Regions from separate parts of the Mus musculus genome. Here all the other regions are reported to be linked to region 3. The links are microRNA targets in miRTarBase. Many come from high-throughput screens and were not tested one by one. Region 3 holds a microRNA gene; each other region holds the end of a gene's coding sequence.

Region 1 (3,000 bases), not on the chromosome of region 3:
GCGAGAATGACCGTGGTGTCTCCTTTACCTTTGGGGCTGAGGTGGTAGCCAAGTTCCTGCACAAGCATGATTTGGACCTCATCTGCAGAGCACATCAGGTGGGCTGGTGGCCTGGGGCGGGCTGGGGGTGGGGGTGGGGTGCCTAACTTACAGACTAAACCGTTCCTGCCCTGGCCCAGGTTGTAGAAGATGGCTATGAGTTCTTTGCCAAGAGACAGTTGGTGACACTCTTCTCAGCTCCCAACTACTGTGGAGAGTTTGACAATGCTGGTGCCATGATGAGTGTGGATGAGACCCTCATGTGTTCCTTCCAGGTGGGTGTGGGGAAGAGGCTGCCCAATAGACGCCTGGCTCAACCCCAGGACCCTGATGAGTGTTTTCTCTTCCAGATCCTCAAGCCCGCTGATAAGAATAAGGGCAAGTATGGGCAGTTCAGCGGCCTGAACCCCGGAGGCCGGCCCATCACTCCACCCCGCAATTCTGCCAAAGCCAAGAAATAGCCTCCATGTGCTGCCCTTCTGCCCCAGATCGTTTGTACAGAAATCATGCTGCCATGGGTCACACTGGCCTCTCAGGCCCACCCGTCACGGGGAACACACAGCGTTAAGTGTCTTTCCTTTATTTTTTAAAGAATCAATAGCAGCATCTAATCTCCCAGGGCTCCCTCCCACCAGCACCTGTGGTGGCTGCAAGTGGAATCCTGGGGCCAAGGCTGCAGCTCAGGGCAATGGCAGACCAGATTGTGGGTCTCCAGCCTTGCATGGCTGGCAGCCAGATCCTGGGGCAACCCATCTGGTCTCTTGAATAAAGGTCAAAGCTGGATTCTCACCATAGCCTCTGTCTCTCTTGTCCCGTCCCAGACAGTGGGCCAGCAGTTCTTTGGTACAAAGCCACCTGGGAGGGCAGACTGAGTGGCTGAACATGGGCCCAGCCAGGGCAACACCAGTGACACACAATCAGGTCCAGAGGCTATTAGGATTCTAGGCCAAGGCCCAAGTGTTAGGAAAGAGAAACAGTTCCTTTGGCCCACAGGAGGGTCTGGCGGGGAGTTCATGATTGGCAGAGGGTGTTCAATACTGATCTTCCTGTTTTAGAGGCAGGAGACTGAGGAAGCTAAGTTTCTGGCTTTGGCCAGAATTTGTATTCTAGAGCCTCAAAGTAAAGGATGAGGGATCTGTCAGGTGACAGGTGGGCACCAGAGACATGATTGGTATAGGCTGAATAAATACAGAACACAGACCAAACATGGTTCCTAGGCAGCTCTGCAGCAGACAGCCAAGTGGGGTATGCCTTTTTCCATTTCCATGTCCATGTCTAAGGACTGACGCCCAACTCAGTGGGCGGGCCTGCTTCTGGTCCGTGAGCCTTTGAACACAGACTTTAATTTCTCAAATTCACCCTTCACCATCACTGTCTTCAGCCAGCACAGGGTTGGGACCCTGCGGGGAGTGTACAGGGGCCAGGATGGAGCCAAAGAACAGTGAACGAAACTGGAAAGAGAATAGAGAGAGCCCAGTTAGTCTTGGAAGCTGCTTCCTTCCTTCCTTCCCTCCCTCCCTCAGTTCCTATCCCAACATCCAGCTTTTACCTTCTTGGGTGGGGGAGTCCCAGGCACTGTACTGGGCTCAGCTTCCTCCTCTGAGGTGGGGGCAAGGTCATGGGAGGCCAGGGAGACAGGTGGGAGGGATGTGGAAGGCTGTGCCCCGGAGCCCTCATTGCCTCCAGTGGTTTCCATGGCAATCATGTAACAGTCAATGTCATCACTGGTAAAGTCATCTAAGTGGGGTGTGCTGTAGGCAGAGATAATATCAACATGGTACAGAGAAAAAAGGGATACAGAGGCAAACCCCACTTTGGAGGGCTCTGAGGAGGGCTTGAGGTCTCCAGACTGCTGGTGAGCTAGCTTTTGATTTTATTACTTCCTGATTTGGCTGGGAGGATAGGATGCAGGGGTTAAGTGGGAGCTTCCTGGAGGGGGTGGAACTGGAACCCTTTTGATCAGAGTTCAGGTAGGGGCCTGAGGGAGGATCCTGGGGCCAATTTAGCTCAGCTGGGGGAGGAAAGCAACAAGTCCTGTGAACAGGGCCACGTGGGGCCCAACCCCTCACCTTCCCAAGGGACAGGAGCTGGAGAGCACAAGAGCCCAGGGATGTGCTGGGCCGAGAGCCAGACCAAACTTCCTCTGTTTCTACTACACGAGCCCAGCCTCCCAACCCACCTGCCCTCGCAGCCACCTGCTTCTCCTGCACCAGGCAGCTCCCTGCCTCCCAGCAGCCCTTTCTCTCCGAGTCTGGAAAGAGGCTCAGAGGGGAGGCCTCAGCCAGAGAAGGAAGCCAGCAGGACCTAGGGGATGCCTCTATGGATGGGAGGGGTCTCAGTACAGCTGACCATTAAGGCTGGAAGCCCTGTTGAGGCTGGGCCTGACAGGAAGCATGTATGGGGGAGGTGCAGAAGCTACAAGTAGCAAGCTCAACCTGAGTGTGTAGAAATAGAGGGAATGCGAGGAAGTGAGACACTTACCTGTGTGCCTGCTTCTGAGGCACTGGCTGGTGGGGTTTTGGGGAACACGGGCCCTGGGAACATGAGTCTTGCTCTAAGAGTGTGGCCAAGACAAAGTGGGCATCCAGCAAGGAATCCTCAATAGTAAAGATGACTGGCCTGGGTGACAGAAAGGGGTTAAGCTAGGTTATCCTGCTCTGGGCATCCCAGAGCCCTGCCTCTCCCCAGTCTAAAAGCCTGGAATTACCTGCCTGGAACATCGAAGTGGATAGTAAGAGGCAAATTCGCTGACTCTGCAAAGCTCAGGAGCCCCTGGGATGGAAGAAGCAGGTAGTGAGAGCCTGTGTTTGGTTCAAAGACCAGGTGCTAGCCATAGTAAACTCACCCGAAATTCCTTGAGGCAGAAGGTGACAGCTATCCCTTCTGGGGCATGCAGCTGCTGGAAGTCCTCATCCCCAATGCTGGTCTCAGTCACCATGGCTTTGCTGGTGCTGTCTATGT
Region 2 (3,000 bases), not on the chromosome of region 3:
GGTGCAGATAAGAGCTGCCCTCTGGTTCTAGGCACTGAGAGCAACAGGTCTCCACCCCACAGGCCCTGATGTCACAGGCAGCAATTGCGGGGCTGCACCTCAAAGGTAAAACTATTATCACCTACTGGGTGCCAATCACCAGCCAGCTCACACACACTCTGACAGAGGGTGTCCGTAGAAAGTAACAAGCAAAGGACTGTTCCTAAAAATACCAGTGGGAATTCGTGGGAATCTCCCCCTCCCCCGCCAGCCAGACTCGACTCGGCCGGTTAGGACTCAGTGTTTAGACGTTAGGACACCTTACACCAAAGTCAATGTTTAGTGTACAAACGCTGCCTCCTCCAGCAAACCTAACTGGGTTGGAGGGGTTGATGAATCCCCTGGGCTTCTCTGGCAAAGCCAGCATCGCGCCAGACATGTTATGTGAGGACTCTTCAGGGAGTCCCCAGCCCTACAGAGCCCAGGAGTCTAGGCGAGGGTTTCAAGGCGCAGAGACGAAAGGGCGCATCTGCCTTACCTTCCTCCAAGCTCAGAGGTAAACAGATTATCATTCTAATATGTAGCCAGGTAAGGGGAAAAACAAAGCCAGAATACAATAGAGAAAGCAGAGCAGGGGATGCAGTTGGAGACTGCTTGCCTACAATGTACAGAGTCCAGGGCTTGATCTCAGCACAGTATACACTTTAAAAAAAGCTCAAGGTCCTAGTTGGCTACAGGGAGAGTCCCAGGCTAGCCCGGGATACAAGAGACCCTGTCACATACATATACATACCATCACTAAAAATGATGCAGGTTCCCTGCCTGAACCTCTGATCCCCACACTCCTCCCGGCCTGGAGGCCTTTCCGCCTCCATGGGTACTGCCAGCTTTTCTAGGACTCTGGTAACCCTTCTCCTCCGAGCTGCTTGCCTGTAGTGTGATGTGTAAGAACACTCATTCTTAGTCAGAAGGTATATGCCCAACTCTATCCCCATATGAGGTCTGGGCTGTATGCCTGGTGGAAACTGTACCCATGTTTGTTCTGTCATATGTAAACCGTCACCCGACCACTATAAGGATTCATAGCTGGAGGGTTAACATCAGCAATCGTTTCTCCTCGGGAGGGCAGGTGGAGGCACTCAGTACTGGGTCGAAGGGTGCAGGGGCATGTGAGAGATCCTATCTGAGAACATTTCCCAGAACACAGATTCCTGATGGTATCAGGCAAGAGGCCTGCTTAATTAAAAGCCATTGCCTCTACCTGGGCTCCATATCTAGGGTTCCTAAGAAGTCACGATGGTATCATGGCCCGCATGTTCTCTTGAGTCCCTTGCCTGAGGTTGGCCCTGGCTTCTCAGAAAAGGACCACCCTTTGCAAGAAAAGGACTGGCCCATTGTTAAATAACATCTGCACTCAAAGAGATGGTGGGTGGGGAGTGATCAGAGGCCCACACCACTGATTCCACTCCAAGAATGACAGGGAGCGTTTATGGAGCAAACATTTTATTTAATAAGTTATAAGATACACTTTATAGTCGGCATTTGATTCCAGTTCGGTCTCCGTGTCTATTCCGCCTTTCACATCCGGCTTCAGCTGCTCCAGGTCCTAACAGGTGGCTTTTAGCACCCACACCTCTCCAGCTGCTGTGCCTTGGTGCGGGACACCTACTCCACCCCTGCCACATTCATGAGAACCACCACACCCCATTGTGTGTGTGTGTGTGTGTGTGTGTGTGTGTGTGTGTGTGTGTGTGTGTAACACTCGCTCCAGCCATTTGACAGCCTGACAATGCTTACACCAAAACCTTTAGAGACCTCAGGTGGGTGCACGTGCTAGTGTCTTGGTCATTAAGGCCTCTCATGGGTCATAAGAGGGGTACCCATCCCTTCCAGCTTTTGCAAGGAGGAGGTCCTGAAATAATTTATCAGTGGTCTCTGCCATTTAGCAGCCGCAATGAACTCTGGGGGCAGCTGGCAGAGGCCCTGCATTTGGCCATGAGCACATGCCTTCAAGGCTGTTAATAAAGAAGTAGGCAGGTACAGAATTCCAAAAATGGGGTATGGAGTGTTCTGCATGCCTTCTGCTCCAGAGCTGGCTTTAGGATGAAGTCAAAGTGATCAGGGCCCCAAGACGAAGCCCAGGCATGGAGTATAATCTGGGTCAGACTTTCTTATTTGTTGTCTAGTCTTGAGGAAAGTGGGTTGCACTGTTCTTTGGCAAGTGGGGTGCAGGACCCCCTTCTGCAATGACATTCTTGTTTGGTTATCGCTTGAGTAGACCAGAAGCTTAGGAGAGCCAGTCAGTCCTGTCCATGTTCTTGTTCCGTCTGCAATGACCTTTGAAATTAAGAGTCTTGATTTGGGCAGAGGGCTCTGCACTTTTTTGGCCCCAGCTTGCTTTCTGAAGATGTCCCACATGACCTCGAGTCAAGTCTAGGGCACCAAGGCACTTGGAGTGAGCGGCAAGGTTTGGGATGGGGACGCTGGCCCACCAGCAGGCTGTGGACATTGTAAAAAATGAATTACAAACTAGCAACAAAAGCAACCGGAAGGGACACGTCCAGCATTGGCTATCAGATGCTTTAAGGCACGGTGACATGAAAGGGGCTACCGGGGATGTGCTCTTCCCCCCACTTCACAGCCAGAACGTAATCGCCCCTCTCCTTGACGACGTAGGTGACGTTGTACTGTTGCTTGCCCACATGCTTCATGGAGACCTCTTCACAGGGGGTGGTGGGCCCATGGACCCCAATCAACAGCATGTTGGACCCTGCGGGAAGAGGAGGTTGTTACTGACCTGACCAATCAGGACAAGCAGAGATGTGACAAAGGTAGAGAGATGAGGGATAACTGGCCGAGCTGGGATGATGGCACCAGAGTCCTTTCACTGGTGGCAAATCGTGGCCATGATCAGTAGAGACAACCTGATTTGGGCTCACATGCCAGCCCTCACACCCTTTGCTTTGGTGACCTCAGACAGGAAAAGCTCTCTACCTAAACTGCAAACCAGGAAGGCCACAA
Region 3 (6,198 bases):
GACTTAAAATTTTCCAAAGCACTGGAGCTTGTTCCTTCATATGGATCAAAACCATGGACAGCGAACTAGTTATTAAGCAAACCGACTCCAGCAAAATTGTGTGTGAAATTTTACCTTCATAGCATCTGTTGGAGGCAACGAAAATTTTATTTTATAACAATTTGGAATAAATCTTGAATTTAAAACTAAAATTTGAATTTAAGGGATACTGTATGCATTCTACCACGTTTTAAGGAAATGATAATTCATATCTTCAACATCTGTCCTTTCTCATGGATGTGACTTTTTAAAAATCAAACTAAAGGTCATTTCTACCTTATGTCACTAGTAAATTACAGTTTTAAATACATTCATTTTGGTATGGGATGTTTGTTATAGGACATACAGCTGAATAAAGAAAGAGAAATTTTATATTTTGTCTGGGATTAGCTGAATGACACTAGAGCAAATTAAATAGATTTTTATCAGTGACTAGGTTTCTAAATGCATAGAATTGGAAAAATTAAATGCCACTTTGATAGACAGGGATAATATGAATAGAGATATGACTCCCATACCCCCATTTATTTCTGGACAGACACTATAGTGCATAACTAACTGTGCAGTGACTGGTTAGACGGACACTCACCCTAACCCCCAGGAAAACAACAGACTTTCACATACATATTGATCCAGGTTAGGGCACAGGTTTGGTTCACTGTGGCTCTGTGTCAAATAACTATATTGCTTTTTGCATGAGTTTCATTACCTTAACCTTTTCAGAAGTGAAATTCATCACAATTATTTCTCTTGTGGATTATATAACTGCTCCCTTAAATTTTCACTTTCAACCCTGTGACTTCTGACTTATTTTGTAACCAGTCTTCTTTGTGACCTGTAAAGGCCTGGAAGATCGTATAAATCATTAACAACACACAGGTTAGAAAAATTAAAAAAAAACAATTTACATTTAAATTTGAAATAAAATTCAAGTGACGTTGAGATTTGTAAGGCAATGAATTCCGGATCTTTAGCCATCGTGCTTGTCCAGAGAATGAAACTGCAATTCTTTGAATGTCCTTGTTTCTTAGCATAGATGATAGATATGTTTTTGACACCCGCATTTTAAAAATTTAAATATTTAAAAAGCATTTGAGAAGGATATTAAATGGAATTTGGTGGTATTCTGATCATTTCATAATGGGCTCTTGTGGTTCTTGTAATGGTGGCCCAGGGCTCTGGTAGAAAGCAGAGACAGTTTGGGAGTCATTGTTTAGGAAGGTGCTCCAGCCTGTCTTCATTCATAAGAATAAGCATAAAAAATTTAGACCTTGGCCTGGGGAAAGGACAATGGTGGGGACGAAAGATGCAGATATGCCTTAACCATAAAATGAAGAGGTGGTCGCTCATCTGGAGCTTAGCTCTGTCCATGGTGAGGTGTTGGCTGTGCGTGCCAGATTTTAGATGAGGATTGAGAAAGTAGTACTGTCTCTATTTTAGGAGACAGAAGCCAAGTGTGGTGACTTTGACTTGTGTTGAGCCAGCCTGGACCTTGACTGGGGGCTGTGCAGAAGGCAAGAGAGACTGAGGAGCTCTGTCTTAGGTAGTTGTATTGGGGCCAGTGTGGTGCGTGCAGGAGAGTGTAAGCAAGGGCAAGGAGGGTGCCCTTTGCTTTGCCCAGGCGCAGCTCTTGGGGGCTGCGCGCCTTCTGCAGCTCTTTGGTTTCAAGGACACAGCGAGCTGTTCAGGACTTTGGGAGCCAACATCTGTCTGACTGGTGACGTCAGCAGCCCGTGTAATCCTCTTGTGCTGAAGGCAGATGCCTTATTTGTTTGGCTGGAGCGAGCCATTAATCCCTAATTCTGGATCAGCAAGCGAGGGGGAAAGACCGGACCGCTACGATCCACCCCCTCCCTGCCCCCACCGCCCATCCTAAAGCACCTTATATCGCGGAAACCACTCAGCCTCCTCTTTCCTCCGAGAACACGCGGAGCAGCCCCTGAAAACGCTTTGGTCCTCTGCAGGTTTGAGCAGAGCTAGCAGCTCTTTCGCCTTTGGATTTCTAGGGCTATGCCTATATGAAATTCTTTATTTCATCGATCATTTCGATTTTCATGCGAGAACTCTTCAGTCTTGCAGTTTGCAGGATTCTAAACCAAGAAGGGGTGGAGATTGGAGAATGCGGTTCTGGCGTGTGGTCTGAGGGAGGGGTTAGATGGGTAAGGGCGCGCGGGATGCGCAAATCGCTGAGACTGCACAGAGGACAATCTGAGGACTCGCTTTCAAGACTCCATCTCAGGAAAACATTTCTCTCGTCCTGACTGCATCTTCTCACCTTCCGAAGCCGGGATTGAGTTGGGAACTCCCCTGTCGCCCCGCACATTGCAGGGGCTCCCCGAGCTCGATTCTATAGGTCCGGACGGCCGGTCACCTTGGCTCCCTAGAGTGATTCCTCCCTCCTCCTGTCCCTCCTCTCCAGTCTCCCCCTCCTCCCTCCTGCTCTAATTCTGCGCTTTGATTCTGTTTTTCAGGGGGAGCGCTCTGGGGTCTCCGCACAAAACCTGCTTTTGAGCCCTTTGGCTTTCTTCAGGCGAGCGCAGTCCGTCCATCCCCCTGGCCCACCCAGCCGCAAGGGATGCTGTGAAAAGAGCCGCTGCTTGCCGCCTCCGGCCTGCCGTCCAGAGGGCTCCGCCCGTAGAGGTCAACTCCCCTCATTCTTCTTCTTTCCATCTTGCCCTCCCTCCGCCGAGCCCAGACTCGGATCTCCTCCTGACTCCCGCCGCAGTCAGAGAGAGCGCATCTGCTGCGCTGCCCTTAAATCTACGCCCAGAGCGGGCTCAGACCCGATCTCTGCTCTCCAGAGCCGGAGGAAGCCCGAGCAAGCAGCCTTTTCTCTTCGCAGTAAAATCATAGCCAGACCAGATGGGCCCCAGCTCTCCCGGGACTCGGCAGGTGCTGTTGAGTTAATTTTTCCGCAATACAAAGAAGGAGGACCCAGCCGGCCTGGGATTCTGATCTTTTCCCAAAATTTCCCAACCAAAATCGGGCTATCAAAGGCGTATACGTGTGTTTGTCGGACATACAAACATGCATGATTATATTCGCTTTTTCTGCTAGATCTCTGGCAACAGGGGATGAGTGACAAAGGTTTCTGCAGCAGAACACTCATGGTGTGGTCCTTAAAGACTTGCCTTTCCTTACAAATGTCTTAGGACGGCATTCAGGGCGAACCAACTCAGTTAATTGCCTTCAGTAAAATAACACGATTACGAAATTAGATCTGTACCAGAGGGGTAATTAACTTCGATCCATGTCATCATTTGAAAACTAGATTTATAGACATATGTATGGGTTTTAGGTGCGCTGTAAATGGCATGCAGATGTATGCATAAGAATCGCAGACTCATGCACCCGCTACTCTTCAACCTTGCAGACTAATTAATGGCAACTCTGACAGATGTGGCGGGAGGAAAGCTGAGGTGGGAGTACTGCTCAGAGCTACAACTCTAGGAGTAGGGACTCCAAGCCTAGAGCTCCAAGAGAGGGTGAAGGGCAGGGAGAAAATTATAGTAATAGTTGCAATGAGTCACTTGCTTCTAGATCAAGATCAGAGACTCTGCTCTCCGTGTTCACAGCGGACCTTGATTTAATGTCATACAATTAAGGCACGCGGTGAATGCCAAGAGCGGAGCCTACGGCTGCACTTGAAGGACATCCGAGAGAAGTTAGGAAGGGTGGGGAGAAACAATTCTAGAATGAACCCATCCTGTGCGACACAAGGACCCCTCGCATTGATTCAAAATCTTTAGAATACAAGACAGTCAAATGTTTTTCAGCGAGAATCTGGGAAATCCGCATGCATACTCCCAAGGGGAATATTAGAGGTTTCATTGACAGCTGTCAGGAGAGCTGTAGTTCCCATTGGTGCAAACGGTCTAAGAGATGGCACTCAGAGAGTGCTGGCCTTTTCCAAATAAAATTCTGGGTCGAACTGGGAAAACAAAACGGATGAGAAACCCCAGACCACACTGCATAAGAAACCTCAAATGACTCAATTATCAGTGAAAATAGGACCCCCGCCCCAAGCTTTTCACTATTCTCCCATTCTTTACCCAGTCTCATGGTAGCCTTGACTGGATTTAAAAGGCCAAGGCAAAGTGACAATACCCAAATCAGTCAATATTGTCCAATAAGAGGGAAAGGCCAAGCCAGGAACTCTAAGACTTGGTAAATTAATGTATTTGGAAGACCATGAGGTACTTAGTTAAGGTAGGTTCCATAACCCGAAAGCCTAAGAAAACCACCGCTGAGAAAGAGCCTTGGTGGAAGTCTTTGTTCTGTGGTGGCCTATCTGGCCTGGGAACAAAGGAGAGGCTGGAGAAGGATAACCCAAAGTGGCCGCACCCTCGCCTTGCTGACAGGATCATCTTCCTCTTCCTCTTTCTTTTCCTCCTCCATTACCTCCTCCCCCTCCTCTTGTGGTAATTCTGCAAACAAGGCAATAGAATTATAGAATCGCTTCTTCTCTAACCCAGCCCCATACCCCAGGATATTAGTTAACTTACAAATAAAAACCTTGAAATACGGAAAGACAGGCTAAACAGTATTTTGCTGAAACCATCCACTCTGACAATCAGCTGATTTGGCCAGAAACCCGAGTAGTTAACAAAATGTGCTAGAGAGAGATTAAATAGATTTTTTTTCCTCTTAAATCACAATCTTGAAAAGAGAAACACACGGTTTTCAGTTGAGGATCTTATCTCAGATATGGTCACCAAAGATACCTCTCAAAGGACCCTAGAGTGTGCCTCAAAATATATTTAAAAGGTTCTGACTGAGGTTGATTTAGTGACCAGAGCAGGCAGGAGTAGAGAAGCCTGCAACCACTCTCGTGGCTCTCAGCAAGGCTTTCTGTGGGACAGCTTTCCTTACTGAGTTCTGAGGCCAAGGCCCACAGAGTGGCAGGGTGATGGTGCCCAGGAGCTGGCAGTGAGCCTCGCTCCTCACAGGAGGTACTGCAGTCCTAGGAGGCCTGAATCCCACAGTGCAGAGAAAACCATACTGCAGAGCACAGCTCACTAGGGAGGCAGAGTAGCTTACCAAATCCCATATAATGAAGATTTGTCTTAGGAGTCCTGGGTCAAATGTGTCTGAATTAATGCATTCAACATATATTTAAAATTATCAGCATTCTAATTTAAATATTGAGAGTATTGTATATAAATAGTAAAATATTAATTTCTATATTGAGTCATATGTGCAATGGAAAAAGTAATAGACAATAGATTGGTTTGTATTCAGCCGTGGGTCCAGGAAAGAAAATGTTCCATGCTTGAATTTCTTTGTAGATTCACATCATAAATACTGTCAAACATCAGTCATAGATAAACTAAACAAAGCTGTAAAGAGACACAGTGACAGTGATTTTTACCTGGGCATAGAAATGGTCCATAAATGAACAATGGCCTAAAAAATATGTTTTTATACTATTTCTTCTCTTCCACCTGAATGGTTGAAATGTAGCCAATGATTCAGGAAAAAATGAGCTCAGAAATGATATTCTTGGGGGTCTAGTTCCTATTCACTCCATCCTAAAAAGGTGGCTTTTAGTTTTGTTTTCTGATTTTAAAACTCTGTAAATTAGGATCTTTATATCCACAAATTTTAGGTTTGCATTTGATTTTACACAATCTGGGGGGGGGGGTGAGATGGCGATATCACACTTTGTTGGGACAAGAGCTACCTCAAACACAAAGAAACCCCCTCTTGTGTCGCTGAAAAAAAAAAAAAAAAAAAAAAAAAAAAAAACTCACCAGAAATGGGAATGGGTTTGAAGTGCTGAAGGTTGTCATGGATGCTCCTCCTTCCAGCAACGACCTAGTTATTCTGGTGGTCTCTCCTCACAATCCCCTGAGCTCCTCACAAAGCAAAAAGGGTCTAACAGTCCTGCTACATCAGTGTAATTCATATTACATAATAAAAACACAATAATACTCCCCGACCTAATCCTACTTGTTTACAGCAGTCCTATACTCTCGCTTCAGAAATCTTAATCAGTTAAAAAATATATTTTCTAAATAAAAATGAAACATGTAATATGAAAGAATTTAAAAAGTAAGGGAGCAAGTACAGGACTTAGTCATCTGGTTGCTATGATTAAATCCAGTGTGGTTATTGATTCATGGTGTTTGTGTACTTTTAAAATTAATTATTTTCATT

The links. Region 3 holds the annotated microRNA mmu-miR-124-3p (UAAGGCACGCGGUGAAUGCC, at 3,641-3,660, shown strand). A microRNA usually pairs through its seed, bases 2 to 8, with sites in the 3' UTR of a target mRNA and lowers its output. Matches are read on the target gene's strand: a 7mer-m8 pairs with bases 2 to 8, a 7mer-A1 pairs with bases 2 to 7 and ends in A, and an 8mer does both.
Region 1: the mRNA of Ppp1ca is a reported target of mmu-miR-124-3p. The part of its 3' UTR that is shown has no 7-base or 8-base seed match.
Region 2: miRTarBase lists Flnb as a target of mmu-miR-124-3p. Seed matches in the 3' UTR shown: 7mer-m8 at 2,423-2,429.

The regions. Positions count from the first base shown.
Region 1 is chr19:4,194,593-4,197,592 of GRCm38, forward strand. It overlaps Ppp1ca (protein phosphatase 1 catalytic subunit alpha), which reads left to right. Exons shown (of 7, transcript NM_031868.2): 5 at 1-98; 6 at 180-314; 7 at 390-827. The coding sequence ends at 500. It overlaps Rad9a (RAD9 checkpoint clamp component A), which reads right to left. Exons shown (of 11, transcript NM_011237.2): 7 at 2,885-2,994; 8 at 2,747-2,811; 9 at 2,521-2,658; 10 at 1,589-1,790; 11 at 606-1,490. The coding sequence ends at 1,395. Among named protein-coding and RNA genes, the nearest start is that of Ppp1ca, 3.9 kb to the left of the region's middle.
Region 2 is chr14:7,950,054-7,953,053 of GRCm38, reverse strand. Flnb (filamin, beta) reads right to left here. Exons shown (of 46, transcript NM_134080.1): 46 at 1,466-2,749. The coding sequence ends at 2,562. Among named protein-coding and RNA genes, the nearest start is that of Gm45521, 5.7 kb to the left of the region's middle.
Region 3 is chr3:17,792,083-17,798,280 of GRCm38, forward strand. Mir124a-2 (microRNA 124a-2) reads left to right here and starts at 3,580; the gene lies at 3,580-3,688. It overlaps Mir124-2hg (Mir124-2 host gene (non-protein coding)), which reads left to right. Exons shown (of 3, transcript NR_033490.1): 2 at 2,511-2,931. It overlaps Gm51272 (predicted gene, 51272), which reads right to left and starts at 3,659; the gene lies at 3,603-3,659.